Linked DNA regions of Anolis sagrei. The protein of the gene in region 1 interacts with the protein of each later gene in a pairwise test. Links are inferred from orthologs where the notes say so. Each region holds a gene or a part of one and is shown on either strand. Other genes may lie near its edges.

What was found.
Region 2: the proteins of RASSF1 (region 1) and STK3 interact in binary tests that used the Homo sapiens proteins (3 or more experiments, as listed by UniProt). The link is inferred for Anolis sagrei from reciprocal best matches to the Homo sapiens genes RASSF1 and STK3.

Annotation. Positions count from the first base shown.
Region 1 is NC_090022.1:72,795,004-72,805,915, reverse strand, and holds the start of RASSF1 (ras association domain-containing protein 1), read right to left. Parts: upstream 4,658-10,912; 5' UTR 4,553-4,657; coding exon 4,252-4,552; intron 1-4,251. UniProt on the Homo sapiens protein: Potential tumor suppressor. Required for death receptor-dependent apoptosis. Mediates activation of STK3/MST2 and STK4/MST1 during Fas-induced apoptosis by preventing their dephosphorylation.
Region 2 is NC_090024.1:31,779,381-31,789,407, reverse strand, and holds the start of STK3 (serine/threonine-protein kinase 3), read right to left. Parts: upstream 4,879-10,027; 5' UTR 4,576-4,878; coding exon 4,553-4,575; intron 1-4,552. UniProt on the Homo sapiens protein: Stress-activated, pro-apoptotic kinase which, following caspase-cleavage, enters the nucleus and induces chromatin condensation followed by internucleosomal DNA fragmentation.

The sequences.
Region 1 (10,912 bases):
ACCTTCTGTTACTCCATTTTCTGCCCTGTTCTTTAAGATTGGTCTATAGTTTTACATGATTTGTCTATATAATCAAAGGGTTTGCTGTAATCTACAAAACACAGACTACATGGTAAAAAGCCTTTGCTAAAGAAATTTGAGCACCACTTTGCTTTCATGTGAAATTAATTCATTTCCAATCTGTGGACCATTGTTTTAATTTCCATACTTGTTGACAGAATTTCATTAAAATTAGAGTAGATTCTGTCTCTGTAGACAGAAGCAACTCTATTGGTATACCATCTGTTCCTAGTGATTTATTTTTCCAAGTGCTGATTCACTTTACTCTCTACTTCACTTTCTAAAATTGAAGGTTCATTTCCATGTGGTTCTTCTTTCAATTAATCTGTCAACATTTCATCTTATTTAGACAGTTCTATTTACTGTTTCCATTATTCTTTTGTTTCTACTTCACCATATAATATGTTCCCCCTGCTAGCCATACAGCATCTCCACTTTTGGTTTATATTTTCCTTTCATTTCTCAGATCCTGTGGAAGACGTCCTTTGTTCTTCCTTTTTGTTGTTACCTTCTATTTCTCTGCCTTGATTACATTATGTAACACGATTTTGTTCCTGGGTTATAAATGTCATTTCCTTTCTATTACATTTCATTTCTATTATATGGAAACAAGGAAAAAATATTAAACTGTAAAAACTTTGTTTTTGTGGGACATCCTGGAGACAAAGCAGAGTATAAATAAATAAATATAATAATAATATAGTTTTTTCAATTAATATGTTATTGAGTCTAAACCAATTCAGTATAGTTTGTGGCAGCCACAAAAATGAAGTTTCTGGAGTAGAGCAACTACTTTCAAAGTAAGTACCCAGTGGCACAGCAGGTTAAACCGCTGAGTTGCTGAATTTGCTGACTGAATGGTTGGCAGTTCAAATCCATGGAGAGGGATGATCTCCTGCTGTTAGCCCTAGCTTTTACCATCTTAGCAGTTTGAAAACATGCAAATGTGAGTAGATCAATAGGTACCACTCTGGCGGGAAGGTTACAGCGCTCCGTGCAGTCATGCCAGCCACATGAACCGAACTCAGACTCTTCGGCTTAGAAATAGAGATGAGCACCACCTCCCAGAGTCGGATAGGACTAGACTAAAAAGTAAACCTTTACCTTTATTTTTTACTACCGCACAATTAAAGATGAAATAACACTTTCAAACCAGGAACAGAACATTTTTCACAGTTTGTTAAGTAGTGTTATTATAGTACCTGCACACAAGTTGCTGAACTGTTGCATTCAGGATTCTGACTTTATTTCTGTCATCTTCTTGTCTGTTCTTAACTGCCTGAAGAGCAGTTTTGCCATCCACTGAAGGAACCAACAGGGAAAAAACGCCCCCTCTTGTCTAGCTCCCTGCATAGGTCATCCACTAAAGTGATAAAACTGTCTTTGCCCCATGACCAAGTCTGAAGTTAGATTGAAATTAATCTAAATGATCTGCTTCATCCAGAAACTCCTGGAACTGAGGGACCACTACAAACTCCAGAACTTTTCACAGAAATTGAATATTAGAGACTGGCTAATAGTTATTTAGAATGGTGTGATCCAGGGAGGGTGTTGTTGTTGTTGTTGTCGTTGCTGTCGTTGTTGTTGTTGACTTTATATCAGACACCTTCAGGCAAGCTGGAGGTTTGCTTTATTTTAATGAGACATTAATCTCTCTACTCCTTCAGCCAGTCCCCTACTACCTTTTTTAAAAATATGCCAGTGAGGGCCTTAATCTAACCTGCATGTGGTGGCTTTCATCTCTCTAAGAATCCTGTTCACATTCTTGGATTGCACAAATTGAAAAGTACTGATTGCTACTGGACAAACACGGGCCAAAGTTTCATCCACTGAATCTATATTAATACAGCATCCAAGTCAAAGCAGATATGAATGACTAGATCTGCAAAGAGCCAAGCAAATTGTTGAGTGGTTTGGGTTTTCCTTTTTTGGGCATGTGTGGAAAAGACCCCTGACCGCTTCAAAGAGCAGATAGTAATAATAGTGACAACAACATTGTATTTTCTAAATATATTCATCCAAAGTACAATTGACCTTTCCATTCGTATAGCCTTTCATGTGCTATATTCCATACAGAAAAAGTCAGTTGTCAAATAAGTCTATATGCCTAAAATGTATTTTTAAATGTATATTTTTAGGCTTTTTTGGGGTTTAAAGTTGCAATCCTGTGCATACGCCTTTAAAAGAAAGCCTTACTAACATTAGTTGAACTTCATGGTTTGTAGACATGCTTTGAATTGTGCTACCAGAAGGCACAGACTTTGGAAACTTTGGTAGGGACATTTCAGCCAAAGTCAGTGATGTTCTCCAGGAACAAGATTGGGCAGAAGCTGAGGATACTGCTGAGCAGAATGAGCAGGACAGCTTCCAAATGTACCAGGGCTGCTGTGACATATTTTGGACTAATACACAGGTTGCCATAGGGACTCTGAAGAACCTTACATTCAGAGTCACTAAATAAATCATTGTACTACCTGTCAAAATGTATTCTCACCAAAATTGCAAAAAATACCAGAAAGTTTATGGGTGACGCAGAGCAGGAAGTACTCATTCTATTTGGGGTTGACTGTGGTGGGGTGGCCAAGGTCATGGGCCAATTCTGAACACTCTGTTTCATTTTAGCTCTAGCAGTGGTTCTCAGCCTGTGGATCCCCAGGTGTTTTGGTCTACAATTCCCAGAAATCCGAGCAAGTTTATCAAGTGTTAGGATTTCTGGGAGTTGAAGGCCAAAACATCTGGGGACCCACAAGTTGAGAACCACTGCGAATCTAATCACTTTTCCTCCTAGAGTTGAAAATTCTACAAAATTTGCAAGCAACGCTTTCATGCAAACTTTGATCCAATACATAATGTCCTTTAAAAACAACTCCAACTATCATTTCTCTCTCTGTGCTTTAGCTTTGTTGCTAGGAGTTGAAATAAGAGAATGCACAAAAAAGTATAGACTTACTACAAAAGAGACAAAACTCCTGAGTGTATGAAAACTATCAAATATTAGAAGAATTAGGGACGGCACACACTTCTAGTACAGGATTTATGGACATTCTTTTTTTAAAAATCAAGTACTCAATTTCTTCCTAATATTCAGTCTGGATTGCTTACAAAAATAAAACAGCTTGTATGACCAATTGTGCATCAAGTACAATTTCTATCTTTTCATACTGCTGCAAGGCAGACACACACATTTCTTCCACTAGTGAGGAAAACATGAAAGGGGTGGTTCCTGCTGAGCTTCTGCCTTAAGAGCCTCATCACACTTGAGCATCGATCCACTTCGATCTACTTTAAAAGTTGTGACTGTCTCCTGCAGAATGCTGCGGTGTGTAGTTTAGGGAGGCCTATGGCTTTTCTGGATGAGCAGTTTAAAGGCTCCTACCTAAACTACAAGTCCCAGAATTCTGTACAAAGGGGCTGCGGTGGCTCAGTGGGTTAAACCTCTAAGCTGCAGAACTTACTGACCAGAAGGTCTGCAGTTCGAATCCGCCAAATGGGATGAGCTCCCATTGTTAGCCCCAGCTTCAGCCAACCTAGCAGTTTGAATACATACAAATGTGAGTAGATTAATAGGTACCGCTTCTGCGGGAAGTTAACCGGGCTCCTTGTAGTCATGCCACCCACATGACCTTGGAGGCGTCTACGGACAATGTTGACTTTTACACTTAGAAATGGAGATGAGCACCACAACCCAGAGGTAGACTTAATGTCAAGGGAAACCTTGACCTTAAAGTGGATACATGCTCGAGTGTGATGAGGTTGTAATAGGTGTATTTGTATGTGCCTTCCAGTGGGGTTGCTTGTCAACTTAAGGTGACCCCATGAATTTCATAGGATTCTTAGGCAAGGAATATTCAGAGGTGGTTCTGCTAGTTCTTGATTCAGAAATACAGTCAACAGCAGCTGGCACTGGTTGGCAGTCTCCCATCCAAGCACTAACCAAGGATGACCCTGCTTAGATGCCAAGATCAGATAGGATCTGGTGCCAGCTGCCTGGCCTCTAATATCTCCACATGTGAGAAATTGAAAAACAGAGCCAAAACAAAAGTTTGGGGGATGCTTTTGGGTATTTAGGCCTCGTGGGCCAACTTCGGTAACAGCCGGTAGGCTGTTAGGAATGGCGGGAGTTGTCGTCCAAAACACCCGGAGGGCCGAAGTTGGCCCCTGGCTGAGGGTGGGAGAGGCGCGGGTACTCACGGAGGCACTGGAGGGTCTTCTTGGAGGCGCCCCAGATGAACTCCCCGCAGAGGTCGCACCAGGTGGGCTGGCTCTGGGCGCAGGGCCGGAAGCGGTGCCCCTCGCCCAGCTCCTCGGTCAGGCGGGGGTCGCGCTGCCCGCCGCGGAGGCGGATGAGGCGGACGCGGCTGAGGATCTCGGGCACCTTCCCCTTGGGCGAGATCCGCAGCGCGTTGGCCCGCTCCAGGCGGACGGCGGGGCGAGGCTCCGTCAGGTCCAGGGCCCGCTCCGGCCGCAGCGCCCGCAGCTCGATCATCTCCATGGGCCCCTCCTCGCACACAGGCCGGGGCGCATCCCCACGCTCCCAGGCAGAGGCAGCAGCCTTCCCCCTCCCACTCACTTTCCGCCCGACTTCTTCAACTTCTCTCTCTCTCTCTCTCCCCTCCCCGCCTTTCCCCTCTCCTCCTCCTCCTCCTCCCCCCTTTCGAGGCTGCCAGGAAGAAAACTCACTGGCGGTCTTTGTTGGGAAAATGAGAGCCTCTCTTGAAAGCGGGGTCGCTTCCCTGGCTCTAATTATTGTCTACACCAGCCCGTCTGAACTGAGTGCGGAATGCAACTCGCAAGCAGCAAACTCTCAAAAGCGCGCCAAGGAGGGAGGGAGGGAGGGAGGGAGGGAAGAAGGGAAGGAAGGAAGGAAGGAAGGAAGGAAGGAAGGAGGGAAGGGGGAGGGAGGAAAGGAGGAAGGAGGGGAAAAAGGAAGGAGAGGGAAGGAAGGGGAAAAGGAGGGAAGGAAGGAGAAAAGGAGGGAGGGAAGGAAAGAAGGGAGGAGGAAAAAGGAAGGAGGGGGGGAGGGAAGGAAAGAAAGAGGGAGGGAAAGGGAGGGAGAGAAGGAAGGAAGGAGGGGATGGAAGGGGAGGAAGGAAAGAAGGAAGGAAGAAAAGAAGGAGAGAGGGAAGGAGGGAGAGAAGGAAGGGAAAAAGGGAGGAAAGGAGAAAGGAGGGAAATAAGTCTCTTAACCCTCCTGAGTTGCACTATGTCACACGATTTTTGTTCCTGGCTTATAAATGGTTGTTTCCTAATTGGTTCTATCATTAAAAATACATGGAAAAACGTTTATCAAAGTGCACAAAAACTTTGTTTCTGTGGGACATCCTGCAGCACATTTGCTATGGTTTTTTTTCAATGACTATCTGATAGAGCAGGCCTGGGCAAACTTGGGTCCTCCAGGTGTTTTGGACTTCAACTCCCATCGAGTTGGTGTTAGTTTCCCGGGCTGTATGGCCATGTTCCAGAAGCATTCTCTCCTTACGTTTCGCCCACACCTATGGCAGCATATTTGAGAACACAGAAATGCTGGACCACTCTAACAACCACCGTGCCAGACTACACAAAGAAACCATTGAAATCCACAAGGATTCGTTTGGTGGGGCATCCGCTTGTACGACTGCAACCTCCCATGGTTCCAAAGCATTGAGTTCAATGGGTGTCGAACTGTGTGAATCCTACAGTGGAGATTCACCCAAAGGCAGGGAAGCCGGAGAGAGAGTCTTCGGTCACAGTGAACTCCCAACGTCACTCGTTGGTTTCCGACACGAAGAGTCCCCAACTCTGCCTTCGTGTTTCCCTTTCACGAGTGGAAACTATGCGGGTGGGAGGCAGGATGTGGAAGAGACAGCGCAGAGGGGGACGTGCCGCTTCTCCCGCCTCGAAAGGCAAGGGACGACGCCCCAGTTCTCAAGATGGGGAGTTGTAGTTTGACAAGATTTTAACCCTTCTCTGCCCAAGAGGGCCCCCGTATCACGAAACGACAACCTCCCACGACTCCCTAGCAGTGAGCCAGGACAGTCTGATGTGCTATCCAACTGCATGAATGCAAGTTTCTGGAATGATGCGGCCAAGGGAAGCGGCGGGGTGGCTGCTCCATCTTTAAAGGAGGAGTTGGGAGGGAGACCCAAAAGGGCGGGAACCAAAACAGCGAGGGAAGGGGGGGGGGAGGCGTCTTGGCCGGCTCCTTCCGCAGCTGCGTCTCTATAGCGATGCTTTTGGTTGCTTTGCTGCCGGTCGTTTCTCGGAAGCAGGCAACCGCAAGGCTCCTTCAAGAGGCCTTCGTGTCGCGTGGGAAGAGAAGAAACGGGCCCGAAAGAGGAGCGGGGCCAGGTCGGGGGTGTGTGTGCATCTACACACCTTAGAATTAAGGCGGTTTGACACCCCTGGACTGGACTGAACTGAACTGAACTGAACTGGAGCCCTCGGTGGCACAGTGGGTTAAAGCCTTGTGCCGGTAGGACTGAAGACCGACAGGTCGGAGGTTCGAATCCGGGGAGAGCGCGGATGAGCTCCCTCTGTCAGCTCCAGCTCCTCGTGTGGGGGCATGAGAGAAGCATCCCACAAGGGTGGTAAAACATCAAAACATCCCGGCATCCCCTGGGCAACGGTCAATTCTCTCACACCAGAAGCAACTTGCAGTTTCTCAAGCCATTCCTCATAGGAAAAAAAAGCCTGTAGGAACATTTCTTTCTATCAACATTTATCACACCAAGCATAATGTCATGCCTCTTCTGATTCCTAATCCATCTAAAATGCAGGCGTGTGGTTTTCACCTTAAGAACAGACAAGTGCTGAGGATTACTTGGGAAGAAATCCCACTGGAGCATTGCAGCACACCCAAATACCTGGGAGGCACTCCCGTCTGTGCTCCAACTTATAAGAAGCACTGCCTGAATACCAAGCAAAAAGTGGGTGCTGGAAATAATATCGTACAAAAGCTGACTGGCATAACCTGGGGATCACAACCAGACACAGTGAAGACATCTGCCCTTGTGCTTTGTTACTCTGCTGCTGAATACATATGTCCAGTGTGGAACACATCTCACCGCACTAAAACAGTGGATGTGGCTCTTAATGAGACATGCCACAGTATCACAGGATGTCTACGCCCTTCGCCACTGGAGAAACTATACTGTTTAGCCAGTATTACACCACCTGATCCGTCAGGAAGTAGCAGCCAGTAATGAAAGGACCAAGGCATTGACATCTCCAGCCCATCCTCTGTTCAGATATCAGCCAGCAAGCCAATTCTTTCAATCAAGAAACAGCTTCCTAAGATCTACAGAGATACTCGCAGGGACACCTCAGCAAGCGAGAGTCCCAAAGTAGCAGGCTAAAACCTGGTACCTCAATCAGTGGGCGAGACTGATGAGAAACTCACTCCTGGGCACACTGAAGACTGAGTAACTTGGAAGGTGATGAACAGACTGTGCTCTGGCACCACGAGATGCAGAGCCAACCTTAAGAAATGGGGCCACAAAGTGGAGTCCATGACATGCAAGTGTGAAGAAGAGCAGACCACTTACTACAATGCAGTCTGAGCACTGCCACATGCAGAAAGAAAGGCCTTCTCACAGCCAAACCAGAGGCATTCGAAGTGGCCAGCTTCTGGTCATAGGAAATTTTGTATAAATTTTATAGTATAAAGTTCACCCTGGCCAAGTTTTTCACTTTGTGTTTTTTTTAATGCATTATAACTGTATTTTCAATCAACTTCTGACACGATAAATAAATAAATCTCTCTTTACCTTCTCCCCTCATCCTCTCACTTAAACTGCTCCAAATATCATACTCTTTCCTCTTAGAGGAGTTACTCTACTCCTTTGATCATTGTACAGCTGTATAAATTTTGAGAGGCACTTTTTGTAACCAGAACTGTTATTCCAAGTGTCCTCATACCATAGATCTGTGTGAGTGTAGTATTTATTGGCAGTTTTATTTTGTATTCCTTTTCTGACAGTGCTTTCAGTCCAATTTACCATTTTAAAAAAATATCCAGGGTAGGATCTCTCATTTTTGCAAGTACTGTGTAACTCAGAAGACGCGTACTTTTTGGGAGGAGAGCAATGTCCAATCTCGACAAAATTGTAAAGAGTAGAGACATCACTCTGGCAACAAAGATCCGCCTAGTCAAAGCCATGGTATTCCCTGTAGTCACCTACGGATGTGAGAGCTGGACCTTAGGGAAGGCTGAGTGAAGGAAGATAGATGCTTTTGAGCTGTGGTGTTGGAGGAAAGTTCTGAGAGTGCCCTGGACTGCGAGAAGATCCAGCCAGTCCATCCTCCAGGAAATAAAGCTCGGCTGCTCATTGAAGGGAAGGATACTAGAAACGAAGTTGAAGTACTTTGGCCACATCATGAGGAGACAGCAAAGCCTAGAGAAGACAATTATGCTGGGGAAGGTGGAAGGTAAAAGGAAGAGGGGCCGACCAAGGGCAAGATGGATGGATGGCATCCTTGAAGTGACTGGACTGACCTTGAAGGAGCTGGGGGTGGTGACGGCCGACAGGGAGCTCTGGCGTGGACTGGTCCATGAGGTCATGGAGACGACTGAATGAATGAACAACAACAACTGTGTAACTGGAAAAATCATACCTAAAATGCTTTGTGTAGAGATACAGAATTACAGTGCATATTTCAGTATGCAAAAATAAAATGGTAACAATAACAAAAATCAATCTATTTATTACCAGCCAATAAAACACATTTCTCACAATTACAGATTCATCATTTAAGTCAGGAGATTTGATAAGCTATTATTGTGTTCTTTCATGGAAGATCTTGCACAATGTCCAGCAAATTAGTGTCAACCATTTGAAACTAGCAACATTTTATATTTAACAGCTCTTTAAAAGCTATCAGCTTGAATGAAGTAAGAGCCTTTTAAAATATTGAGAATTTCCTCACAATTGCTTGTCTCACATAATATCTGTTTTTAAGGCCTTATCATTGTGTTGGAGATGTTTAAATCCAGATGTCTTCCAGCACTTTGGAAAATGCCAAGCCATGTAAAGAGAAATGGGAAAATTGAGCTTTCCAGATGTTGGGGAACTCCCCATCAGTGCTATTCACCCTGGCCAATGATCACAGTCATCTATAGCATGTTGGGAGTATATAGCATGGTGAAAGGAGTAGTTAGTCTGGAGAAATAAAATTCTATGTCCCTGATGTAAACCAAAAGTTTAACAGGACAATCAAACCCTTCTTTAGTCAGTATCATAAGGACCTTTCCAGTATTGTTTATGTTCACAAGTATAGTTTCACAGTATTTTTCCCGATAAATTGTAATTGACAGAATGCTTTGATGTTGAGGCTGAGTAAAAGCAAACAGCTTTTACCTGGTTCTGAAAAAAGCCTGGTGTCTTACAGCTGTAGAAACAAGTTAGTAGTTAGATAGGGCTTCAGCTCTTACTCTATAAAACGATGCATCTCACTACATTATCTAGAATCTACATTTTAAGAGATGACATCATCTGGATCCATGGTGCCATTGCTGCTTATACTTTGCTCAGGTCAAGGACCACAAGCTGAGCACATGGTGGTTTGGGGTTAACATCTTTATTCCTCCCAACACTACTTCCTGCCTGTAAACGAATCTCCATCCTTTGTCTTTGTTTAACATCCTTGTCTCAAGAATGTTTTCATTTTGTTTAGCCACAACAGTCTGGTCTCCTTTTAGTCTTTCATTCATGTTTTGTGTGTGTGTGTGTGGTGTGTATATATATCATTTCCTATTGATTTCCTGAAGTTAGAGCTCTACCTCGCCTTCATTATCTCCTCATTTGGATGCATGACATATCTCAAAGCAGGGCTGTCAAGGACACTTCTAGATGCAGGATTTGTGTTTTGTCTGTATTTGTGGGGATATCTTGGCCAAATTACTGTGATACCTCAAGCCATAAGGTGCTTACTTTTGTATTGTTATTGTAAATGTATGTTCTCAAATCTGTGCTGATAAAGTGCAGTTTAAGTAAGGGATCATTGTAAAACAGAATTGGCTCATAGCTACAAATGACTTCAAACAATCATGTGTATGTCTGGTTTCAGAATTTTGTTGGCAGGGGGAAATAACATCTTGAGAGACGTCTGCAGAGATCCGAAGGCATTTGATTTCAGAAATACAGTACTGGAATTATTACTTTTTTTTTTTTTGCAAACATGTAGTTTTACCATTAGCCAAGTTGTAGAGATACAGCAGACTCAGAATCCACTATATCCTTTTCTCCCCTTATACCAAGGTGTGTTGATATAACAATAAAAGGAAGAACAGATAAGAATTATGTTGCCATCCCTTTAAAATGGGACAGAGCCACAGATCCAGATTCCTATTTGCTGCCTACCCAATCTGTGTATCCAGTCTTGACTGTGGCCCTTCCTCACTTTGTACAGCTTCTCCTCCTTCACTTACATTGTTCTCAGCTTCAGAAGAGCCAGGAAAGATCAAGTAGTGATAATGGCTGGCACCTGAGATGTATAGAAATACCACTAGTGTCGTATGTTGCATAAGACTTAGCCCTTCTGCCAAGAGTTATGTTTTTGATCACCTACAAAGTCCAACATAACTGCAAGAGATGCACCTTTCCATTTTCCTCTCAATCTTGTGAGAAGGAGCTGGATCTCCTCCATTACTTCCTTTTCAACAATGTACTGCAGGCTTGTTGCCTGCTGGAAAAGATTGCACGGCTTGGCCTGGATGGCCTCGTGATGGATGAAATAAACTGATCTTCATGCAGCTAACCAAAAATATGGCAGGGTTCCTACTGAGGAATACTGGTGTTGATTGTATCTCATATCCACAACAACTTGTTGCTAATAGTTACCGGGGAACTATATAGTTAAGATTGCTATTTTCATA
Region 2 (10,027 bases), on another chromosome or scaffold:
GAAACTACTCCAATTGTCTTATTCTCGCTTTGTAATCCCAAATGAAAGAACCTAATCCAATTCCCTCTCTCTCTCTCTCTCTTTGTAATCCCAATCAGTAAATATATATGTAAATGGTGGGATGCCTCACGGTGACCCCAAGAACTATTATTATTATTATTCCAAGTGAATGAAACTAATGCAATTATGCCTCTCTCTTTGCTCATAATAGAATATCCTGAAGCAGAGCCAGTGATTTCCTACTGAAATGTAAGTCATATGAATATTGCTTTGGTTATTTTGCATTGATCATTGACTGATTTAATTTTGATACTGTGCAATAACTGGGGTGCTATGGTATATATATATTATGTATGTTAAGGTTCCTTTTTATACATGTAAATGTAGTGCCAGAGACTTTACTACTACTAGAATACCACTGAAAGGAACAGAGAAGAATCAATGACCTGAGGAAGGTGTTCCTACTACAAACACCGAAACAACCTTGTAGTAACCTTTGTCACCTCGTAGAACTACCCAGCATACCTTGTAGTAACCTTTGTCACCTCGTAGAACTCTTCTCTGACACTACTACAACTTTGTATGCAACAAATGGTCCTCCAAGATATCTTAAACTGACTATTTGAATCATTAGACATATTCTGTCAATATATTGGATTACTGTGTTTTTTTGTTTTTGTTTTTGTCTTTGGACCATAATTTTTATTTATCGTATCGGGAGCAAACCAAGGGTACAGTTGCAATGCATTTAAAAAAGAACACTTAAAAAAAAACCCTTGGCATTATACTAAATGTCCTTTGACCAGAATCTGGCCACTTGGATTGCCTCTGGTGTGGCTGTGAGAAGGTCCTCCACTGTTCATGTGGTAGGTCTCAGGCTGCATTGTAATACGTGGTCTGCTCTTCTCCACACTTGCATGTCGTGGACTCCACTTTGTGGCCCCATATCTATTCATTTATTTATTTTACATTTGTTATACATTATTTTACAGCAGATTCATATTATTCAATACAACCTACCATACTTTAACTTTTGGCATCTACCTTTATTTTTCTGCTTATACATATTATCTATTCTCACCACTGTGCTCCCCTCCCCACCCCACCCACCCCAAGCCACAACTTTTACATATCATCTGTCCTAAATTTCAGTTCCTCTTGTGGAGGTGCCTTTCCCTCTTTCTTTTTAAATCCTTTTTCAATACATTTCCTCCATACATAATCAAAATCACTTTGTTTCCATATACCTCCTTTTAACTTTTAATATACATGTCAGCTTATCATTTATTGCTAATTTCCACACTTCCTTGTACCACTCCTCTATTTCTTTATTTATTTCTCTTTTCCAATTCCTTGTTATAAGCAGTCTTGCTGATTACTATGTTAATTAAGAGGAGATTGATGGCTCCCATTTGAAATTTATTTACTGACGTTTATTTACAATAGATATAAGATTTGTTCCTTTATGTTGTTTACATAAGTTAAAAAAAACCTGTCGAATGATATAAAACATTTGATGTTTCAAATATAACAATAACATACTATTTCTTGTATCTAAGCATATCTTTCTTTGTAAACCCAATTAGTACATATGCCTATAAATGGTGGAATGCCTCACTGTGACCCCAAGAACTATGATTTTGGGTTGTTGTAGGTTTTTTCGGGCTATATGGCCATGGTCTAGAGGCATTCCCTCCTGACGTTTCGCCTGCATCTGTGGCAAGCATCCTCAGAGGTAGTGAGGTCTGTTGGAACTAGGAAAAAGGGTTTATATATCTGTGGAATGACCAGGGTGAGACACAGGATTCTTGTCTGCTGGAGCTAGGTGTGAATGTTTCAACTGACCACTTTGATTAGCATATAATGGCCTGACAGTGCCTAGAGCAAACTTTTGTTGAGAGGTGGTTAGATGATCCTCTCACCTCTGCAGGAGTCTACCGTATACCATGCAGCTGTGGACAAATCTACATAGGGACCACCAAATGCAGCGCCCAGACACGCATCAAGGAACATGAAAGGCACTGCAGACTACTTCAACCAGAGAAGTCAGCCATAGCAGAGCACCTGATGAACCAACCTGGACACAGCATATTATTTGAGAACACAGAAGTGCTGGACCACTCTCACAACCACCATGTCAGACTACACAGAGAAGCCATTGAAATCCACAAGCATGTGGACAATTTCAACAGAAAGGAGGAAACCATGAAAATGAACAAAATCTGGCTACCAGTATTAAAAAAAACTCTAAAATTACAACAGCACAACAACAGAGAGGAAACAAACAAGGACATCTAATCATCTCTCAACAAAAGTTTGCTCTAGGCATTATTTATTTATTTATCTATCGTGTCATCAGCAACCATACCACTGTATTACATTTCTAACAGAACAAAACAAACACGCAGATTAAAAAAAACAAAAAACTTGGTAGTTGATTAAATGTCCTTTGACCAGTATCTGGCCACTTGCAGTGCCTCTGGTGTTGCCGCAAGGAGGTCCTCCATTGTGCATGTGGCAGGGCTCAGGGTGCATTGCAGCAGGTGGTCAGTGGTTTGTTCTTCTCCGCACTCGCATGCCGTGGTTTCCACCCTGTAGTCCCATTTCTTAAGATTGGCTCTGCATCTCGTGGTGCATCTCGTGGTGCCAGAGCGCAGTCTGTTCAGCGCCTTCCAAGTCGCCCAGTCTTCTGTGTGCCCAGGGGGGAGTCTCTCATCTGGTATCACCCATGGATTGAGGTGCTGGGTTTAGGCCTGCCACTTTTGGACTCTCGCTTGCTGAGGTGTTCCAGCGAGTGTCTCTGTAGATCTAAGAAAACTATGTCTTGATTTAAGTCATTGACGTGCTGGCTGATACCCAAACAGGGGATGAGCTGGAGATGTCTCTGCCTTGGCCCTTTCACTATTGGGTGCTACTTCTCGGCGGATGTCAGGTGGTGCAATACCGGCTAAGCTCTAGGCACTGTCAAGCTCTAGGCCAGTGGTTCTCAACCTTCCTAATGCCGCGACCCCTTAATACAGTCCCTCATGTTGTGGTGACCCCCAACTATAACATTGTTTTCGTTGCTACTTCATAACAGCCATTTTACTGCTGTTATAAATCATAATGTAAATATTAGATATGCAAGATGTATTTTCATTCACTGGACCAAACTGGGCACAAATACCCAATGCACCCACATGTAAGTGGGGTTGGGGGATGATTGATTTTGTAATTTGGGAGTTGTGGTTGCTGGGATTTATAGTTCGCCTACAATCAAAGAGCATTCTGAACTCCGCCAGCGATGGATTTGAACCTAATTTGCCACACAGAACTCCCATGACCAATGGAAAACACTGGAAGGGTTTGGTGGGTATTGACCATGAGTTTGGGAGTTGTAGTTCACCTATATCCAGAGAGCACTGTGGCCTCACGCAATGGTGGATCTGGACCAAACTTGGCACAAATACTCAATATGCGCAAATGTGAACACTGGTGGAGCCTGGGGAAAATAGACCTTGACTTTTGGGAGTTGTAGTTGCTGGGATTTATAGTTTATTACAATCAAAGAGCATTCTGAACTCCACCAACGATAGAATTGGCTCAAACTTCCCACATGGAATTCCATGACCATCAGAAAATACTGTGTTTTCTGATGGTCTTTGGTGACCCCTCTGACATCCCTTAGCAACCCCCTCAGGGGTCCCGACCCCCAGGTTGAGAAATACTGCTCTAGGCACTGTCAAGCCACTGTCAAGGTGGTCATTTGAAACATTCACACCTAGCTCCAGCAGACAAGAATCCTTTGTCCCACCCTGGTCATTCCACAGATATATAAACCCTTTTTCTTAATTCCAACAGACCTCACTACTTCTGAGGATGCTTGCCATAGATGCAGGCGAAACGTCAGGAGAGAATGCCTCTAGACCATGACCATATAGCCCAAAAAAACCTACAACAACCCAGTGACTCAGGCCATGAAAGCCTTCGACAATAAACTATGATTTTGATTATTTGAAACAGGTGGTCATTTGAAACATTCACACCTAGCTCCAGCAGACAAGAATCCTTTGTCCCACCCTGGTCATTCCACAGATATATAAATCCCTTTTCTCAATTCCAACAGACCTCACTACATCTGAGGATGCTTGCCATAGATGCAGGCGAAACGTCAGGAGAGAATGCCTCTAGACCATGGCCATATAGCCCGAAAAAACCTACAACAACCCAGTGATTCAGGCCATGAATGTCTTGGACAATAAACTATGATTTTGATTATTTAAAGTGAAAGGGCACCCCCCCCCCCTTTACTGAAGTTCTCTCTCCTTCTGCTCCTACTGAATTCAATGAATGTGTTTATAGATGGCGGGGTGCCTCCTTGTGACCCCAAAGTCCCTCCAACACAGGGCCAGAGCGAGGCCTCTGGAGGGAGAAGGCCTCCCGGGGGAATCAAAGCAGAGCTGCGGTGCGGCCTAGCCCGGCTTCCTTCCTCCTGGCGCCCAAGGAAAGCCTCGTCCCCACCCGCCCGCCTCTTCCCCTTCCCCGGGGAGAAAGGGAGGCCGCTGGCTGTTACCTTTTCGGCGCGGCCTGCTCCATCCTGACGCCAGCGGCTCCGCAGGTCCCCCTGACTGGGCCTGGCCGAGGAAGGATCCCCTTCAGAAACTCTCCTCACAACTTTCGCCCGCTGCTGGCCCTTTAAAACGCCCCCTCCTCTTCCGGAGCCGCACTTCAATCGCAACCCCTCTGCCACTCAAGCGTTGGCCCACCCACAACCCTTCCTATTGGCTGCAAGGGGGTTCTGCTTAACGGCTATTGGCCCTCGCAAAAGCCAGTCGGAAAGCCAGAAAGCGGAAGAGAAAGTTGCTTCAGGCCCGGTGAATCTACGAAGGGACTCAATGGCCAGGAGGGACCAGAAGGGAGGGATTACGTCATCGTAATACGTCATCGACGGAGGGCCGTAAGGGCTCTTTTGCCCATCATGCACCGCGCCAATATGGTCTCCCAATGGGGAACGGTGCATGCTGGGCAATGTAGTCTTTGCTCATCATAAAACAGGACTCAACAGCAAAACCGCAGAGAGGGAACAACCAGGCACATCTTAACACCTCTCAACAGAACATTTCCCCAGGCTCAGCCAGGCCTTCAAATGCTAATGAAGGTGGTCAGCTGAAACATTCACACCTAGCTCCAGCAGACAAGAGTCCTTTGTCCCACCCTGGTCATTCCACAGATATATAAACCCATTTTCCTATTTCCACAGACCTCACTACCTCTGAGGATGCTTGCCATAGATGCAGGCGAAACGTCAGGAGAAATGCCTCTAGAACATGGCCCTATAGCCCGAAAAAACCTACAGGAACCTAGGAGAGTGATTTTTATACACCTGGATTGATATACACCTGGTACACCTCGCCTGAGGATTATTGTATACCATGTTTTGTAATAATTTTGTGCACACTGAACCATCATAACACAAAGATGCAAAGATGTCACTGTTTTAGGATGCATCTACACTGTAGAGTTGATCCACTTTGACACCCTTTCAACTGCTATGGCTGAATACTGTGGAATCTTGAAAGCTGTAGCTTTATCAGGTGTTCAGCCTTCTCTGAGAAATAATGCAAACCACAACTCCCAGGATTCCATAGCAATGAGCCATAGCAATTAAAGTGGTATCAAACTGAATTAATCCTACAGTGTAGACTAGGCATGGGCAAACTTCATCCCTCCAGATGTTCTGGACTACAACTCCCACAATTCCTAGCAGCGTCAGGCCCTTTCCTTTTCACCCTCAGCCGCTTAAGCGGCTGAGGGTGAAAAGGAAGGGGCCTGAGGCTGTTAGGAATAGTGGGAGTTGTAGTCCAGAACAGCTGGAGGGATGAAGTTTGTCCATGCCCGGTGTAGACGCACTCTGTCACCCATTTAGATAATTTCAGGATGAGGGATGCTCAAACTGTTTAGCAAGCCTTGCAAATGCTGATTTCTTTTCAGTAAATGTTTGGTTTTTATACTTATTTTATTCTTCAATATCTGGGGTCACATAAAATGTTTTCAGGCCAAAACGGGTGGAAAAGTTTAAGAAGCCCTGTTTCTTAAACAATGGGTACCAACCCCAAATGGGTCATTAAAAAAATTGGCCATGTAAAAGTTTTCCAAATGCCACCTAGTGGCTGTTTTAGACATTTACATGAACCTGTTGTGCAGCATTTACAGTGGGCTCAGTAGAAGATGCGGCTGCCGCACTTCATAAAAAAGATCTTGTCCTTTCCCCTTACTACTTTTCTATCCAAAGTCTTAATTGTCTAGTTGTAGTTTTATCAGGGGTTTAGCCTTCTCTGAGAAATAGTGCAGCTCTTATCCTTTTGCTGCTTTATCACCTATACACATTAGACCTACCATTAAATTGTTGTACCAGACCATCCTCCTACAATGAGACTTGAATTGGTGGTTGTTCCTGATGCTTGTTTTATTGTTTTTTATAATGTTGCTTATGTTGTTTTTATATTGATTATTGCATTTTATATTGATTATTGCATGTTATGTTTTAACTGTTGACTGGGCTTGGTTTCATGTAAACTGCCCCGAGTCCCTTCAAGGAGATGGAGGGAGGGTATAGAAATAAAGTTATTATATTATTATTATGTGAAATACAAGATGAGTCCACAGCAAACAAAAACACTTTGCTGGCTGTTGTATTTGATCACACATTGGACACTTCCCAAGTGTCTAGGACTGTGTGATGCATCGGTGAATAATGCATGCAGATCCCTGTAGGGTGGCCTTTTGCAGCTGACAGATGGTAATTTTGTCAGCGCTGATTGTGTTTAAGTGCAGGCCAAGGTCTTTAGGCACTGCACCCACTGTGCCGATCACCACTGGGAACACCTTGTCCGGCTTGTGCCAGAGTCTTTGCAGTTCAATCTTTATATCCTCATATCATGTCAGCTTTTCCAGTTGTTTCTCTTCAATCCTGCTGTCATCTAGGATTGCAAGATTGACAATCCATAAAACTCTGTCTGTCTGAATTCGGAAGTCGCAGAGTAGTTTGACATGTTCATTTTCTGTAACTTTTTCCGGCTTGTGATTCCACCAGTTCTTTACCACAGGCAGGTGGTATTTATGGCACAGGTTCCAATGAATCATCTGAGCAACGGTATTATGCCTCTGTTTGTAGTCTGTCTATGCGATCTTCTTGCAGCAGCTGAGGATGTGATCTATTGTTTCATCTGCTTCCTTGCAGAGTCTGCATTTGGGATCTGTCATCGACTTTTCAATTCTGGCTTTGATGGCATTTGTTCTAATATTTATATTATTTATATTATAAATATAACTATAATATATAATGTATAATAAATAATAATAATTATTATTATTTATTATACATTATATATTATAGTTATTATTGTTGTTGTTATAAAAAGGGAAACCAGGCTGTTTAGCAAGCCTTGCAAATCAGTAAATGTTTTATATATACATATATATCTGAGATCACATAAAGATTTCTCAGGATGAAAGAGCTTGTGAGTGTAGAAGCCCTGGCCTAGGCCAGTTGGATTATTTTGGTTCCTCAGGACCCTTCCACACAGCCCCATATCCCAGAATATCAAGGCAGAAAATCCCACATTATCTGCTTTGAACTGGAATATATGCCAATGTGGACTCAGCTAACCCAGTTCAAAGCAGATATTTTGGGATTTTCTGCCTTGATATTCTGGGATATGGGGCTGTGTGGAATGGCCCTCAGATAGAAAAGGAGGCACGCATCTTTCCTGGAAGTAAAACATAAAATCTAAGGGCCCTCCCACATAGGCATATAACCCAGAATATCAAGGCAGATGATCCACAATATCTGCTTTGAACTGGATTATCTGAGTCACACTGCCGTATAATCTGGTTCAATGTGGATTTTATACAGCTGTATGGTTATTATGAACTGTCAAGCGGCTGATTTTTCATGACCAAATACATCCCTTTAGTGGCCTTTTCCTGTTACCTAATTTTAACATCACAATAATCTGGCATTTGAAGTGCAGGAAAAAATGAAAATACTATTTGCTTCTGGTTAAATATACTTATACTAAAGAAATAAACAATCAAAGGAATTTCCTTCTTCAAACTGAAAATCAAGCATCATAGCAATTGATCCACAGTGTTACTAAAGCATGACTATGGCCCCTTCTACACTGCCATATAAAATCCAGATTATCTTCTTTGAAATCTATTATATGGTAGTGTAGACTCAGGCCCCTTCTACACTGTCATACAATCTAGATTATCGAAGCAGATAATCCACATTATCTGCCTTGAACTGGATTATATGAGTCTGTACTGCTATATAATCCAGTCAAAGATAGATTATATAACTGTGTAGAAGGAGCCTGAAGCTGAATCTACACTGTGCTACATCCCAGAATCTGACCCCAGATTATCTACTTATATTATCTGGCAGTGTAGACTCATATTATCCAGTTCAAAACAAATAATCTGGGATCAGATCCTGGAATATAGAGCAGTGTAGATCAAACCTTAGGTTAGGGTATATACAGTAGGAGTTTTTTCCCTTATGAAATAAAACCTTACATTTAAGGAATTCCTGATCAGACTGCGAATAATCATCCATCCATCCCTCCCCACCTCTTTTTTGTTGCTTTCTTTATATCAGTAGAATAGAATAGCCAGCCACATTGATTTCCATCACATCAATGTCATGGTTTATCCGTTTCCCTCTATTATTGAAGACCTGGATGAGAGAGAAAGAGAAATGCAGTCTCTTTATTCATGAACATTAGTGTCAGAAACATGAAACTGCAACAATGAGAGATGGAAATCTGACACGCTCGCTCTGCATTGGGTGTGAGGAGGATTCGAAGTATGGTGTTAGAGAACCTTGCCCTGTTGAAGAGAATGCACCACATAAATCAGCCAATAACCTTGGCTACATTTGTCTAGAACTAAACCAAAGAAAGAGAAAACAGGCAGAGCAGAAGTCTGTTCCCTTATCAGCTTTAGTAATCTTATTCACACTGAGAGACCAGATGTAACTAAGGGGCCCAGGGAAAAATAAAAAGAAGATGGACTGTAAGAAGATGCACAGTAATGTACAATCTGCATTTACAGTTCAATAAACAGATTGATAATCTGCATATATGGTTCTGCTACGTAAGGGAAATTTCTACAATATCTGCTAGCAAATGCATACCATCCAGTGGGATTCTTATTTGACAGACTGCTGGTGAAAATCAGGGTGTTATTGTGATGATGTCATTAGCGAGACGTCTCAAAAAAGACGTCTCAAAAAAGAAATGACTGAGCATTACCCTATAGTGACAAAAATTAAGTTTGTTCCTGAGTTTCCATCTACATTACCCTATAATACAATTTCATAATGCAGTTTAACTACATTGAACTGCATTAAATATGGGATCAAATTTAGAGTAAGGACCACGGTAATGCACGTCCCTGCCCGGCGAGCTTTATGCTAAACCAGATTTTTCCCAATTGAAAGCACACTCACCAAGACTGAAAGCAGTAACAGAGGCTTATTTGCAACCTGGCCAGATATTTACGTGTACAGCTAGCACCAAAAATACACACATGTTCGCGAATACAGAGACACAAGACTTTATAAACTTGACAGCTATTTAAACTTTCTTGCTCCACCGACTCCCTTCCCTGATTGGCTAGAGGAAGAGCTGGTTTGGATCCGGGCTCCCATTGGCCGCTGTCTCTATGACTTGTCACCTCCATGCAGGGATTCCCCTGGAAGGGATTGATCTGGGGAGTGCCAATCAGCTGTTGAGGGGCAGCTTTTCTGGAATGAGACGAGTCTTGGAAAGTCTGTGTCCACCTCTGGAAATGCAAATAAGTCATTGATTGTTTTCACTGTCTAATTGTTGAGTGATTAAGAAAGTTTCCTGGGAACAGTGAAGGTGAGGTACCCTGAGACAAAAGGTGATGATCCTCTTCTATCAAGCCTTGGGGGCCAGACACAGGAATCTTGTATGCATGTACACTTGGGAGTTCCTGTTTCCACGGTCAGCTGTTGAGT